3 linked regions of the Schizosaccharomyces pombe genome follow. Changing the gene in region 1 together with any one later gene gives a genetic interaction. Each region holds a gene or a part of one and is shown in the gene's direction. Other genes may lie near its edges.

Region 1 (5,016 bases):
GCATGAAGTATGAGAAGTACAGATGTAATAAATAATGTTGTAGAAAGAGAAATGTTAACTAATCGTTGCTTACTTAGCTTAATTTGTCGTACCAGCTCCATTCTATGATTTAATATTGCTTGTCATATGTTTGTTGCAAACGGCATATGAATATCCTAAAATCTAATAACTGTTAGCAATAGCAGACTACACTGTACTGCATCACTACATCGCACGTTATAAATTTACCTATTCACTGTAACTAAGAGATGATGTTGATAATGGATTTGCGAGCCGAAAGATAACTAATTACAAATTATAAAAGGTACCCAATTGGTTTCCCTTCTTCCTTTCAGATATTTCAATCATAATTTATAATAGCATATTCCTTTGGATGAACTACAATTGAACTGTTCATACTACCTTACATAACGAAAATAGAAGATCGCAAGAAACTTAACGGTGTTCTAACGGAAAGATAAACTAGGTTACGAAAGTGAACACTTCATAACTTAGTACGAAGTGTAAAATAAGTCGATAAAAAAGCATTGCTCCAGCAGTGACTCGAACACTGGGCCTCTTGCTTACTAGGCAAGCGCTCTACCACTGAGCTACAAGAGCTATTGTTAAGTCGATTCTTTTAGTTTAACTTGTTACAACTAAACGTCCTAAAATGATAAGTTATTAAAGGAAAGATGTGTTAAAACGAACAGTCAAAAATAGTAAAAAGCGGCAAACAGTAGGTAACCAAATTTTTAAAAAACCAATTCTCTGTATTAGCAAAGGAATATATTATCAAAACGTATTACATATTTAGCAAAGCAACCGTTTTATTTTCCTGATGCAACACAAAACAATTTACTAAATTTAATATGACTATACGTTATATTTTTTTGCGTGTAGAAGTTTCAATACCATTATTGCAATCATACATGAATGAAGCGAATACACAATCAAGGAACATAAAAAAGAGTTTTCGCTTACTTTCGATTCGTATCCCAGGCAAAACTGCTTTTGCTAATGGAGTTCATTAAGGTATGATGCCAGTCGCTTCTTTGCACTACGCAAATGTATATATGTAGATCAGACAAATTGTATATCAGTCCTTAAACGAATAAGAAGTAAAAAATCATGTTGAACCGTTTAAGAAACAAAACTTATTGTACTATTTCAACCGTTCTTGAACACGTCTGTTTTAATATATAAAACCATAAAAATCCGTGACCTTTTCATATAATAATACGCTTAACGCAATATAATCTTAACTTCATGAACAAAAAAACATGCTACTCTACATAGAATCTATCTAAACGATCATTCTTTTGATTTCCATAAGTTTTCTTTTTCTCTGAATACACAGTATTAAAAAAATATTATTGTTGATTTAATGTATAGAGTGAAAGAAACCTTTGTAAGCGGAAACATGCGATGATGCTTGCGTTACCATAAGCAATCCCTGTTGTTTATTTTACCATCCTATTGTTTACCGAATACTGCTCGATTCTTGGAAGCATTAGTTGTGGACTTAAAAAAAATTTAAAACGAGCTCTCCCTCACCTTTGTCTAATATCAAAAGGTGACAGCGCCATTTGTTCAATTTCATTTATCAAAAGCGATGTAACTTAATATGTCTTCATGTCCGTAAAACGACAAAAAAATTTGGATACAATAGCATACTTGACTTATATTAAAGAAAACCTTAGTGACCCTTAGAAAACGTTTTGCAAGCAATTTGCTATACATTTTTTATCTTTTTCATAAGCTTTGCGATCAGGTAACAACAGATTGTTACCTTCCATTACCTTCATGACCTATTAGTGCGTGCGGCGTCAAGAATCGATTCCATTACCCAACGTCTTCAACGAATTCTTCCTTTGGAGTGTTTCCAAGTTTTTTTAGCATTATCTTCTGTATAAAGGAGTTCATGCAAGAAAAAGAAAGTAAGGAATTGAGGTTCGCTGCAATTATCGTTAACAAAGAGAGAATTAGTAAACTAGCCTTTTTCGGCTAAACTGGATTATCTTGCTTTTTGAAGGCGTATGCAAATTTGGTTTACTCTTCACATTTCAGATTTTCTCTTCCCTGTGCCTACTCTCATTTGCTGCAAGTGACTTTTATAGCTGGGGTTGGAACAGGAGTCGGTAGTGTCAAATTTATTAGTCTTGAATTCTAACATCGTTGTTGTTGTCTCGTTTTTTTGGCCATATTTAAATCATAGTCCTTGATTAATTTTTTTTTCTCTTTCTTTATCATTGGATCACTGTTTACCATAAACCGATCCATCATTTCCTTCCAAACACCATATATTTTATAGATATATTATCCTTGTTTTATTGTTATTTAGCCTTTAGAAAAATCGTATTCTACGTGTTGGATATTATCCGAACAGTCAAATTTTCGCGTTTTAATTATGGAAGACTTAGATACTAAGATCAAAACGTTAAAAAATATGGGCGTTTCGGAATCCGATGCCAAGGATTCTTTAGAACGCTGTGGTTATGATGTTGAAAGTGCTGCGGAATTCATTTTCAGTGGTCAGTTAGAAAAGAGCCGACTCGTTCCCATTATGTCTAGCACATCTATTGCTTCTTCATTACCAAGCTACCAAGATACATTCTTTCTTCCTTCCCCTCGCAAGCGTAGAAGGTTACCTGGGCGCATTGGAACAGTTCTAAAACCCAGCGCTTTGTTTCCTGCAATTGCTCCCTTCCTTTTTGTTGTTTTTGAGATACCCGTTGCCCTCAACACGTTTGTGCACGCAACTTGTAAAGGTTTACTATTTGCAGAAGACAACGCTTCTTTTCACAGACCGTTTACAGATGTTTCTGCGCATTTATCTTCCTCCTCTCTTTCCAAATACAACCATCATTCAAACCATCGACTGGCTTCCCCCGGATGGTGGTATGGAGAAGACTCTTGCATTTCTCAGTCTTTAGATCCTAGATCTGTTATGCAAGTGCAAACAATTCGTGCCTTTGAGTTTCTCTTCTCCAGTCATCGCCTTTACTTGGATACTGTACATATTACCGCTGCACTATCTCAAGTTTTAGCCGGACTTGGTAATACCAATACATCAATGTCCGATGGTGACTGTATTGCAGCTTTTCTATCTTCATATTTTTCTCCTCCTAATGCTGAATTTGATTCTACATTTTGTAGCACTCTCTCATCTTTGACAAATTCCGAAAAACCCACATACATTTTTAACTTTAAGCCCAATTCAACTCCCGACTTACGTTTGAGTATAGAATCTTGCTTGGATTTATTGCTTCATCCTCCTTCTTCAGCTCAAAAAAATTGGAGTTGGATAAAACATGTTGGAAAAGTCTTTTGCTGTTCACTTCCAGGAAATAATGCATCCGGTACACCTCGATTCTTGCTAACACCAAAGATTGATTTAAGTAAATGTATCATAGAAAATCGTGATGAGATGTTACGAAGATACCAATTAGAGACTGTTTACCGCAAAACTTTATTAGAGTGGGAGGATTTGTATAAGCGTTTGACTGGCGTTACACTTACTGATAAAGACATTGGTGAACTCTTGACTGATGGACAGCAATTTCTTGAAAAAAGAAATCCTGCGTTGTCTAGTCATTTACAGCTGTTAAAAGAGACCTTACAAACCAAAATTAGCACACTTATATCAAATACAAATGCTACTCAGCATAAACTCTCCACTTTATATCGAGGTATGCAAAATAAATGTACGCGACGCCTCCTTGCCGTTATTATCGAACCATCGATAATATACATTTGTCTCAAAAACAGTGCAGTTCAGTCAAATCGAAATGTTTCGCCGTCTGCTAATCATAACGAACAATGGTACTTAGTTCGCTTCACCACAAGCGCAACGATATCCCAGGATAGTCCGCCATGCATTGTAGAACCTGTTACTTTTGAAGAAGTTGATTTAGAGTTTGAGAAACATATATCCTACCATAACCGTCTTTTGATATACGTTGATGATGACTGCGAAGCTTCTACTCGTACTGTCATACCCACTTCTGTCAAAAATTTTATTGCAGAAGACAATGAATATTTTGATGATGAGTTAGCAGGTATAATTCATTCACCGACTGTAAGCACAAGGAGCAGCCGCAGCAGCGATGTTTCCGAATACGACCTTGAGGATCAAGGGGGCTTACAGTTAACTGTGCCCCATATCAATACAGATGTACAATGTCACCGATCCCGAAACAGTGCTTGCGAATTTCCGGAAAGTATGCATGTGGAACATAGCGGTTAAAAGGACGATCATTACATGACAGCATTTTTCGGCTGTTTTGTTCGCAAAAATTTATACCAATGCTTTTATGATTTCCTTTCTCTAATGTAACTCGTTTCCTTGTATTATTCGTTGTCTGTTTGATGGAATCACATTCAAAAATTTTGTCAAAAATAACTAAATATATTAATGTCTATTTAGATGCATGTGTAGAATTATAGTTAATGTTATGCGAAAATAAAATAAAATAAATGAAATGAAGTCAAGTAGTGAATGATAATCTTTGTGATAAAACCAAAATATCGCAAAAGCATAAAGACCAAACAATGTGCCAGATATATATTAACATAAAGGGGTCGGTAAGTAGCAGACATAGAAATTCAAATGTAAGCAGGAAGGTTATTGTAATATTATTAAACCCAAGTAAACCAAAGAAAGAAAAAACAAAACAAATATTTGAGTCAGATAAAAATTGCAAGAAGTGTATGATATTATTGGAGCATGAAACACTTCATCAAGATTTGGTTATAAGAAGAACAGCAAAATACACAATGGCCATCTGGAATCTCTTCGTTTCTATTCTTTTTCTGTCTGGACGCTTTGTAGTGTATTTTGCAAAGACATTACAGGTGGTTTTCTTTTCATGTAGTACTTCTTCTTATGGGCTTGTAATTTCGCAGTACAGGGACTCATTAAACTATCAGTAGGACTAGCAACATTCAATGCATGCTTAGGAAGTTCATGCTTCTGCAACACCTGTTGACGGAGTGTTGCACTTTCCTGATGCAATGGCTGAATTGTGGTTTCAA
Region 2 (4,059 bases), on another chromosome or scaffold:
TTTTTACTACTTTTTTAAATTTGGGATTAAGTTGAATTGGTCTGTCTTCCTACATCTTGTTCCATACCCGTTCCAAACTTTGACATAATTGGATGAAGCTGTCTTGTTTTAGATAGAATAATACCTTGGAGCGTAATTGCTTTTCCTCTTCAGTAAGTTCTGTTGGTAGGATTTGTGAAGTCGTTGGGGGTGATGGAATCAAATTTGCGTATGCTTGGTTCTCCGGTTGAGCAACCCACGAAGCCTGTGTCTGAGAGTTCAGCGGCGTAGCAGCAATAATGGGGTATTGTGAGTTTGCACCGTAAGAGTAGGCATTACGATTGGGATTAAAAGGTGATGAAGTTATCACCACGTTTTCATCCCAAGTGGGTTGTTGTGACGCAGTAATACTTTCAATTGATGTATCACTTCGAAGGGGCATTTGGGTCATGCCCGCATCCCCGCGGAATCGCTTAAGCGGTGGTGTATTGGAGAAGATTTCAGCATTTGGCATGACATGCTGCAGTGGTGCTGGATTGACATAGTTTGTGCTATTGTTCACAGCAGTTGTTGCTGTTTGGGTCATGGGGATATAACTCGGTTGTAATAAAAGATTTGGCTGTTGCGCCGATGACTTGTTATATGCATTGTTCATCAACGAAAGTTCCTGTGAGTTATTAGATTGACTTTGGGAGTTATTGAATTGCTTCTTCTCAGAGGAAGACTTTGCATCTTTGAACACCAGGCCTAGCTTCTCAAATTCAACTTTGGCTTTCATATAATGCACGTCAGATGGGAATTTCACTTGAAATCTTTTCATCACCTAAATTTATTAACAACAAAATACGCTTCATCAACACTCCATTTTTTTTTTTAAAAAAAGAGGCCTCAATGTGATTTTGAATAAATCTGCTTTTGTTTTACTTACATTATTAGTGAAAGCACGAATATTCATACACGGAGCGCGTGAAAGCAGAGTTAGACATTTTTCCTTCGTTCCCGGTATCAATTGGTGCCAGAGATCTAACAAGTTTATACTTTGCTGTTTGTTTGTTAAAAATATTGAATTTTTCTAGCAATATGGTTTCATGTCGCGTACAATTAATTCTTCGTGTTGACGAATTTGAAGCAATCCAGACGTTAATGAGAGTGTAAAACCTCCATCTGAATAATGTGACCAGTTGATATGGGAGGAATCTGTAGTATACGAATCCTCAGCTACAGAGTACTTAACAATTGGGAAAATGTTCATGTTTGTTTATGTTTGAATATGAGAAGACGCGTTAGACTGAACCTCATTTATCTGATAACGCAGTACGTTCCGTCACGGTGTATTACTTTTGTTTACATTTATGAGTTGACCTGAAAACGACTAGACTTTATGGAATGTAAGTCTTGTTATCACAATATATTACATATGATTGTAATTTGCCATAAGGAAACTATTTCTTCAATCTGTATTGAGGAATATCTGATTGTTCATTAATTTCTCAAGTCTCTTCAAACAACAGTATTTTGAGAGAAAGGAAATTTTATGAGCAGTTTCTTCTTTTACTAATCAATCCCTTTAAAATATTTTTATGCCTTCATTTCATCCTTGGTATCTACACTTATATAAAAATTTTAGGCATATTTGCCTGTTAAAGGGAAACGCAAGATACGGACTTGCACTGCTTTTAAATTATGCGTTTTTTCCATCAGAATGATATTTTTTTTCCTTAATATTATATTTCATCCTTTCTCCATAGGTTGGAAGGGTTGGCGAACTGCTTTGCCAATACCCAGACTTTAGTAGTGTCGTTTGTATAATTAATGAAAACCTAAAATGTGGACATGGAGAAACCTGTTTTAAAATATTAACATGCTCTTTTCACAATAGAAACTACATAATCATTATTGTTTAATAAAAGTTAGCATAACCTGCGATTTTACAAAAAAAAAAGGTCTTTTAGTCAGAAAAAATGAAACTCTTTCTCGTTTCATAACAATTTTTTAGTTCTTTCTTCTATTTGAACAATATTTTTGGTTAAATGTGGAAACGTCAATTAAACACCGTATATGCTGATTTCATATTCTTCGCACTTCCACTGCCCAGGTTTACAAAAATTTCCAAACTCCGTGTTAACAGGAAATTTGGTGCTAAAATCATACCTCCATTAATAAATAACATTAGAAAATTATTTACCATGAGCTTTGATGCCGAAAAACAATTAGCTATTGCTGCTGTGCGCAGAGCTAGCTATTTGACCGAAAAAGTGTTTAATCAACTTATCAAGGAGAAGAGTGCTGCTGGGGCACTTACTAAAGATGATAAATCACCTGTGACTATTGGCGATTTTGGTGCTCAAGCTATCGTAATCTCTATGTTAAAAGATGCATTTCCCAATGATCCAATTGTTGGCGAAGAGGATTCCGACTTTTTGAGAGAAAACACCCAAACCTGCTCTCGTGTTTGGGAATTAGTTCAAGAAACTATCCAACATGCTACTGAATACAAAGAGCTTGGTCAAATCAAGTCAGCTGAAGAAATGATGAGCATTATTGACCAAGGATCATATCACGGTGGTCGCAATGGTCGTATGTGGACTTTGGATCCCATTGATGGAACTAAAGGATTTCTACGTGGTGCCCAGTATGCTATTTGTTTAGCTTTGATTGAGAATGGAAAACCTGTGGTAAGTGCCATTGGATGCCCTAATCTTCCATATGACTTTAATCAGCCCGAGACAAGTCCCAAAGGTATCATAATGTCCGCTGTTCGTAACCATGGTTGCTTCCAGTATTCTCTCCATAACGAAAAATTAGAACCAGTTCAAGTGCACATGCAAGATGTTCAAAACACCAAGGATTCAAAATTTTGCGAAGGAGTAGAGGCTGGTCATTCAATGCAAGGAACTCAAGAAGAAATTGCAAAGTACTTAGGGATTACTCGTGGACCTACCAAGATGGATTCTCAAGCCAAATACGCTAGTCTTGCTCGTGGTGATGGTGACATCTACCTTCGTTTACCAACCAAAATGACATTTGAAGAAAAAATTTGGGATCATGCTGGTGGTTCTCTTCTTGTTGAAGAGGCTGGTGGTGTTGTTTCTGATATGTTTGGCAAACCTTTGGACTTTGGTGTAGGAAGAACTCTTAAGAACAATAACGGTGTTATAGCCGCCTACAAAGGTATTTTTGAAAAGGTAATTGAAGCTACTGCAGCTGTAACATCTAAAGACCCTCACTTTCAAAAGGTCGCCCAATAATCTGTCCGAAATATTCTAGCTTTAGGGCTTTATTTAGATTTTTCAGCATGTTAGCATATGCGTTATCGAGGATTCTACAAAAAATGTAATCTTGAAAATATTTACTTGCCATAAGCTTATGATTAGCTCCTTTTAATTAGATCAAAACAATTAACAACATGTTATATGTCTTTATGGATGACATATTTTATTTACCTTAAATTATGGATTATATAGTAGCAATGTTTAATTGTTCAGGTATAGTTACACAGGTCAGTATGAATAGGTTAATTGTATAGTTATTTTCCATATTACCTTACTATTTTACTTTTAGTATTCTCGTAAATTTACTATACGGTGGTGTTGATCAATTTCAAGGAATTTATGCCTTCAAGTGTGGTTTGGCTAATAACATGGACATGTTTTCTTAAAACGGTAAAACTTTTTAACAATTTTGATGAAACGAATATTGAGCTCATGATCCAAATTGGTATTTTGAGATCCTTCCTAAGTACTTTGACTTGCGCTACCTTGATTCCTGCTGAAAACGTTTGGAAAAGGCATGTAATAAAAGTTTTCTATGATAATATTTGAGACACCACATTTTTCGAAAAGAAATATAATTTTTTAACTCTTAGAACGGGTGATAATGTCATTTCCTACCGATATGGAGACAAATGAAATTTTGGATCAGTTAGACAAAATTGACGAAAGAAATGAAGATATTCTTTTAAAGTCTCTAAAAGCTTCTAAATGCACATATAAGCCCTGGAGCAGAGAAGAGTTTTTGAGACGATTGTTGACTTATAGAAGTCGGTGGGCTTATGTAAACGATCCTCAAATTGGTGAGATA
Region 3 (3,532 bases), on another chromosome or scaffold:
TTGGCCGTACGGGAACAATGCATGCATGGGAGCAAGAGGGTGTGACACCTGACATTCAATCTATTGCCAAATGTTTAGGAGGTGGTTATCAACCCATTTCTGGAGCGCTTGTTGGTCATCGTATTATGAACGTGTTTGAGCAAAAAGATGCTGCCATGGCTGGTTTTTTTACATATCAAGCCCACCCAATTGCTTGTTCTGCTGCCCTGGCGGTGCAAACTATTTTAAGACGAGATCATCTTGTTGAAAGGGCAGCAGAAATGGGTAAATACCTTTCGGAAAAATTACATGAGACTTTTGACTCTCATCCCAACGTGGGAAATATTCGAGGCCGCGGTTTGTTTTGGGGACTCGAGATCGTTAAAGACAAAGCTACCAAGGAATGTTTCCCTCCTGAATACAAAGTTGGTTCTCTCGCCAACAAAATAGGTTGCGAGCATGGTGTTTTCGTTTATCCAGGCATGGGTACAATTGATGGCACCAGAGGAGACCACGTATTGCTGGCTCCTCCGTATATTATCACTCGCGAGCAAATAGATGAACTAGTGGAGGCTCTTAGCAAAACCATTACATCTACAGTTGCGGCCCTTCCTTGAATGTACGCAAGTTAACGAAATTCCTCTTTATCAGTTATAATGTTTCAGATAATTTGGATATACTTATGTTAGAAGACCTTTGGTCATGGTATAATAATTAATTTTATATGAAATGAATTTACAATGCATTAATATACTTTCTCCGCTACGACCCTTCGTTGTAATAAAATTGATAATTCCATACGGCTATAGGGTAGACGATGGCTCGCAATCATTTGAAAACATGTTCTCTGCGTAAACGCGTTTCTATATAGTTTGAATCAACAAACGTAAAAAACAAAAAAAAACTTGGACAAGCCAGAACTCGAATCTGGGACCTCTTCCATGCTAAGGAAGCGTGATAACCATCTACACCACATGCCCATTTTATTATACATTACACATTTATAGTATATTACAAGCATAGTAGGCAGTATACCATAATTTCAACTATTTAATGTATAATAAATAGACACATTATTAGCCAAACAGTTTGGATTGTTTTTGGGTTATTTTCATAATGTAGAACCAGTTGCTAATACTTCGATACAAGTTTAATTTTAAAGTAATATATGTCTATTATTTTACCTCTTCATCCAAGCATCGATGGTGTAGCGGTAACATCAATGCCTTCCAAGCATTAGCTCCGGGTTCGACTCCCGGTCGATGCAATGTTTTTAGCCTTTTTATAAAAAAAATGCAATGTTAGTTTAATAAAGACGATAGCCTCGCTTGCTAACATCATGTTTTATAGTCTTGGCTTACTTCCTTAGAATCTTTACTACGATTGCTACATTGACATTGCATGCAAATCAGTTCCTAGCTGATGGATCCGTTCTACAATTGACGAACAAAAGATATTTGAAATTTGTTAATAAATTAATTGTTATTTTATTTATATTTCTGTAACGCTGTCGAGACGGACAATCAGAGAAAATGCTGTTACAGTTTACGAAAGACCATTTTTTAAAGCCATACTAGTAAAAACGACACCATGTTAATAATGATTTGACTAGAAATTTTATGAAAGAAAACATTCTTTAGTCATAGTAGGATGCAAAGCTATTCCGATTGTATAAGCAGGGGAAGATCGGTTCCCTATCGATCGTTTGAAAGGTCAGCTAAATACGCTAAATACGATTTTACGGGATCACATTGGTAATGTTGTAAAGTAATATCAAAGCGAAGCTAACAAATTGGTAATATTTATGTCGTGATTCTTCACTACCTGTACTTTCTTCCTACACCAGAAAGAAAATCTCAGGTGTTATTGTAAAATTGTTTTTATTTTGGTACCGAAATTCTGAAAGTTGAGTAGTAAAAAGTTCAGAGTACTTCATCCTGAACAGAGTTTCACTACTTTGATCATTTTATCTAGCCTTTACAAGTTAAAGCGATTTAATACTGATCAGCATTGACACCAACGTTTTTGGTTTTACAGGTGTTGTTTAGAATATAAATTTATATACTGCAGCTCTGCATCAACCTTTCTCCTTCCCCTCTAGCATTTTTCTTGCACACTTTAAGCCTGTCAATGGACGCCCCCAGAAGATCTAGCAGATTGGCAGCCAAGATTGCAAACGTCTTGGATAGCAAAGGAACGATTATTCCTGAAGCTGCTCCAGTAATGCTGAAAAAGCCTGCAAAAGATGAATCAGTTGATTCAACTATTCAAGTGGGAGACGTAATTCCCGATATCACTTTGCCTGACGAAGATGGAACTTCCATTCGACTTCGCGATATTACTGCAAATAAAGGGCTTGTAATTTTTGCCTACCCAAAAGCTAGTACTCCTGGCTGCACGAAACAAGGTTGTGGTTTTCGTGATAACTATCCTAAGATACAGGCCTCTGATTATGAAGTTTTAGGGTTGTCTTTCGATACTAGCAAAGCTCAAAAAGCTTTCAAGGATAAGCAAAACTTTCCTTATCATTTGCTTTCGGATCCTAAAGGTGAGCTAATTAAAAAGTTAGGCGCTGAGAAGCCTGGTGGTGGAAAGCTGTTTAGAAGCCATTGGATCTTTGAGAAAGGTACTGGCAAATGCATAGTGAAGGAAATTGACATATCACCTCTTGTCAGTGTTGACAAAGCCTTTGCTGTAATCACTGATTCTGAACCTTAGTTGACAAATTGTCTACGCTCATTGTCAAATTTGGAGGATAGTCTACATGCCTATTGCTATATGATTCATGATGAAATTACACTTTTTTATGTCTTGCTACAATGTGCTTCAACCCTGAAGATACATTCAAATATGATCACTACACAATTTTATACAAGTTGATGGTCCAAGTTAGTGTTGTTCTTATTTTAGTAACGTTGAGATTAGATTAAATAGTTGCCGTATATCTAATACAAATATAGCTCCAGCAACGGTGTAGATTTTTGGTTCATTACGGTTAGAAATCGTAAATCATTATTTTTTAACAAATAACTCATTTTGATTAGAAAAGTTGGAAGTTTCATAAAAAGAGGGAAATCTTCCTGTATTCGTTTATCTTTGTTAGTGCTTTATGGTAAATATTTGCGGTCGTAAACAGAAATTCGCTCTTTACAGCCCACAATCAAATGCTCCAACTTATCGACGGGTGAGTTGATCCAAAGAATATCTGATAAATCAGTAATTTCCTCTTGAGCTTCTCTGCTAGGTAAGCTTTCGAGAGTTGAAAGTTTATCGTCCTGCCTCAAGAAAAAGACTCTTCCATCAGATGCACTAATCGCGAATTCCGGACGATTTACAGCAAACGCAATACCAGTCAAAGAGACTTTGCTAATCGATTTCTCTGCAAGCAATTCCTCACTCTTTACATCGAACACTCGCACCATGCCATTTTCATGCAGAGAATATAAGCGATCAGGGTTACCATTTTTCCATACGATCTTGTTGATCCTGTCTTTAACAGCCGGATTACCAATAGCAGAATTTCCAGCAATGCGCATTTGGCTTACAAGAATTT

Evidence for each region. Genes that interact genetically often act in the same process or in processes that back each other up.
Region 2: mutations in ucp6 (region 1) and tol1 together harm fitness less than expected from each alone (positive genetic interaction), as found in Schizosaccharomyces pombe (one large-scale study listed by BioGRID).
Region 3: mutations in ucp6 (region 1) and bcp1 together harm fitness less than expected from each alone (positive genetic interaction), as found in Schizosaccharomyces pombe (one large-scale study listed by BioGRID).

What each region holds. Positions count from the first base shown.
Region 1 is NC_003424.3:2,844,146-2,849,161, forward strand, and holds ucp6 (UBA domain protein Ucp6), read left to right. Parts: upstream 1-1,823; 5' UTR 1,824-2,389; coding exon 2,390-4,228; 3' UTR 4,229-4,479; downstream 4,480-5,016. Other genes in the region: Spo12 family nuclear protein, read right to left, coding at 4,784-5,016.
Region 2 is NC_003421.2:1,547,839-1,551,897, forward strand, and holds tol1 (3'(2'),5'-bisphosphate nucleotidase/inositol-1,4-bisphosphate 1-phosphatase), read left to right. Parts: upstream 1-2,065; 5' UTR 2,066-2,165; coding exon 2,166-3,227; 3' UTR 3,228-3,559; downstream 3,560-4,059. Other genes in the region: meiotic recombination protein Rec7, read right to left, coding at 50-802, 908-1,021, 1,079-1,231; zinc finger C3HC-type containing RNA export factor Rsm1, read left to right, coding at 3,856-4,059. UniProt on the Schizosaccharomyces pombe protein: Phosphatase that converts adenosine 3'-phosphate 5'-phosphosulfate (PAPS) to adenosine 5'-phosphosulfate (APS) and 3'(2')-phosphoadenosine 5'-phosphate (PAP) to AMP. May regulate the flux of sulfur in the sulfur-activation pathway by converting PAPS to APS.
Region 3 is NC_003423.3:283,103-286,634, reverse strand, and holds bcp1 (thioredoxin peroxidase), read left to right. Parts: upstream 1-1,818; 5' UTR 1,819-2,109; coding exon 2,110-2,697; 3' UTR 2,698-3,032; downstream 3,033-3,532. Other genes in the region: SPOM_SPBC1773.03C (aminotransferase), read left to right, coding at 1-596; csc3 (WD repeat-containing protein), read right to left, coding at 3,087-3,532. UniProt on the Schizosaccharomyces pombe protein: Thiol-specific peroxidase that catalyzes the reduction of hydrogen peroxide and organic hydroperoxides to water and alcohols, respectively.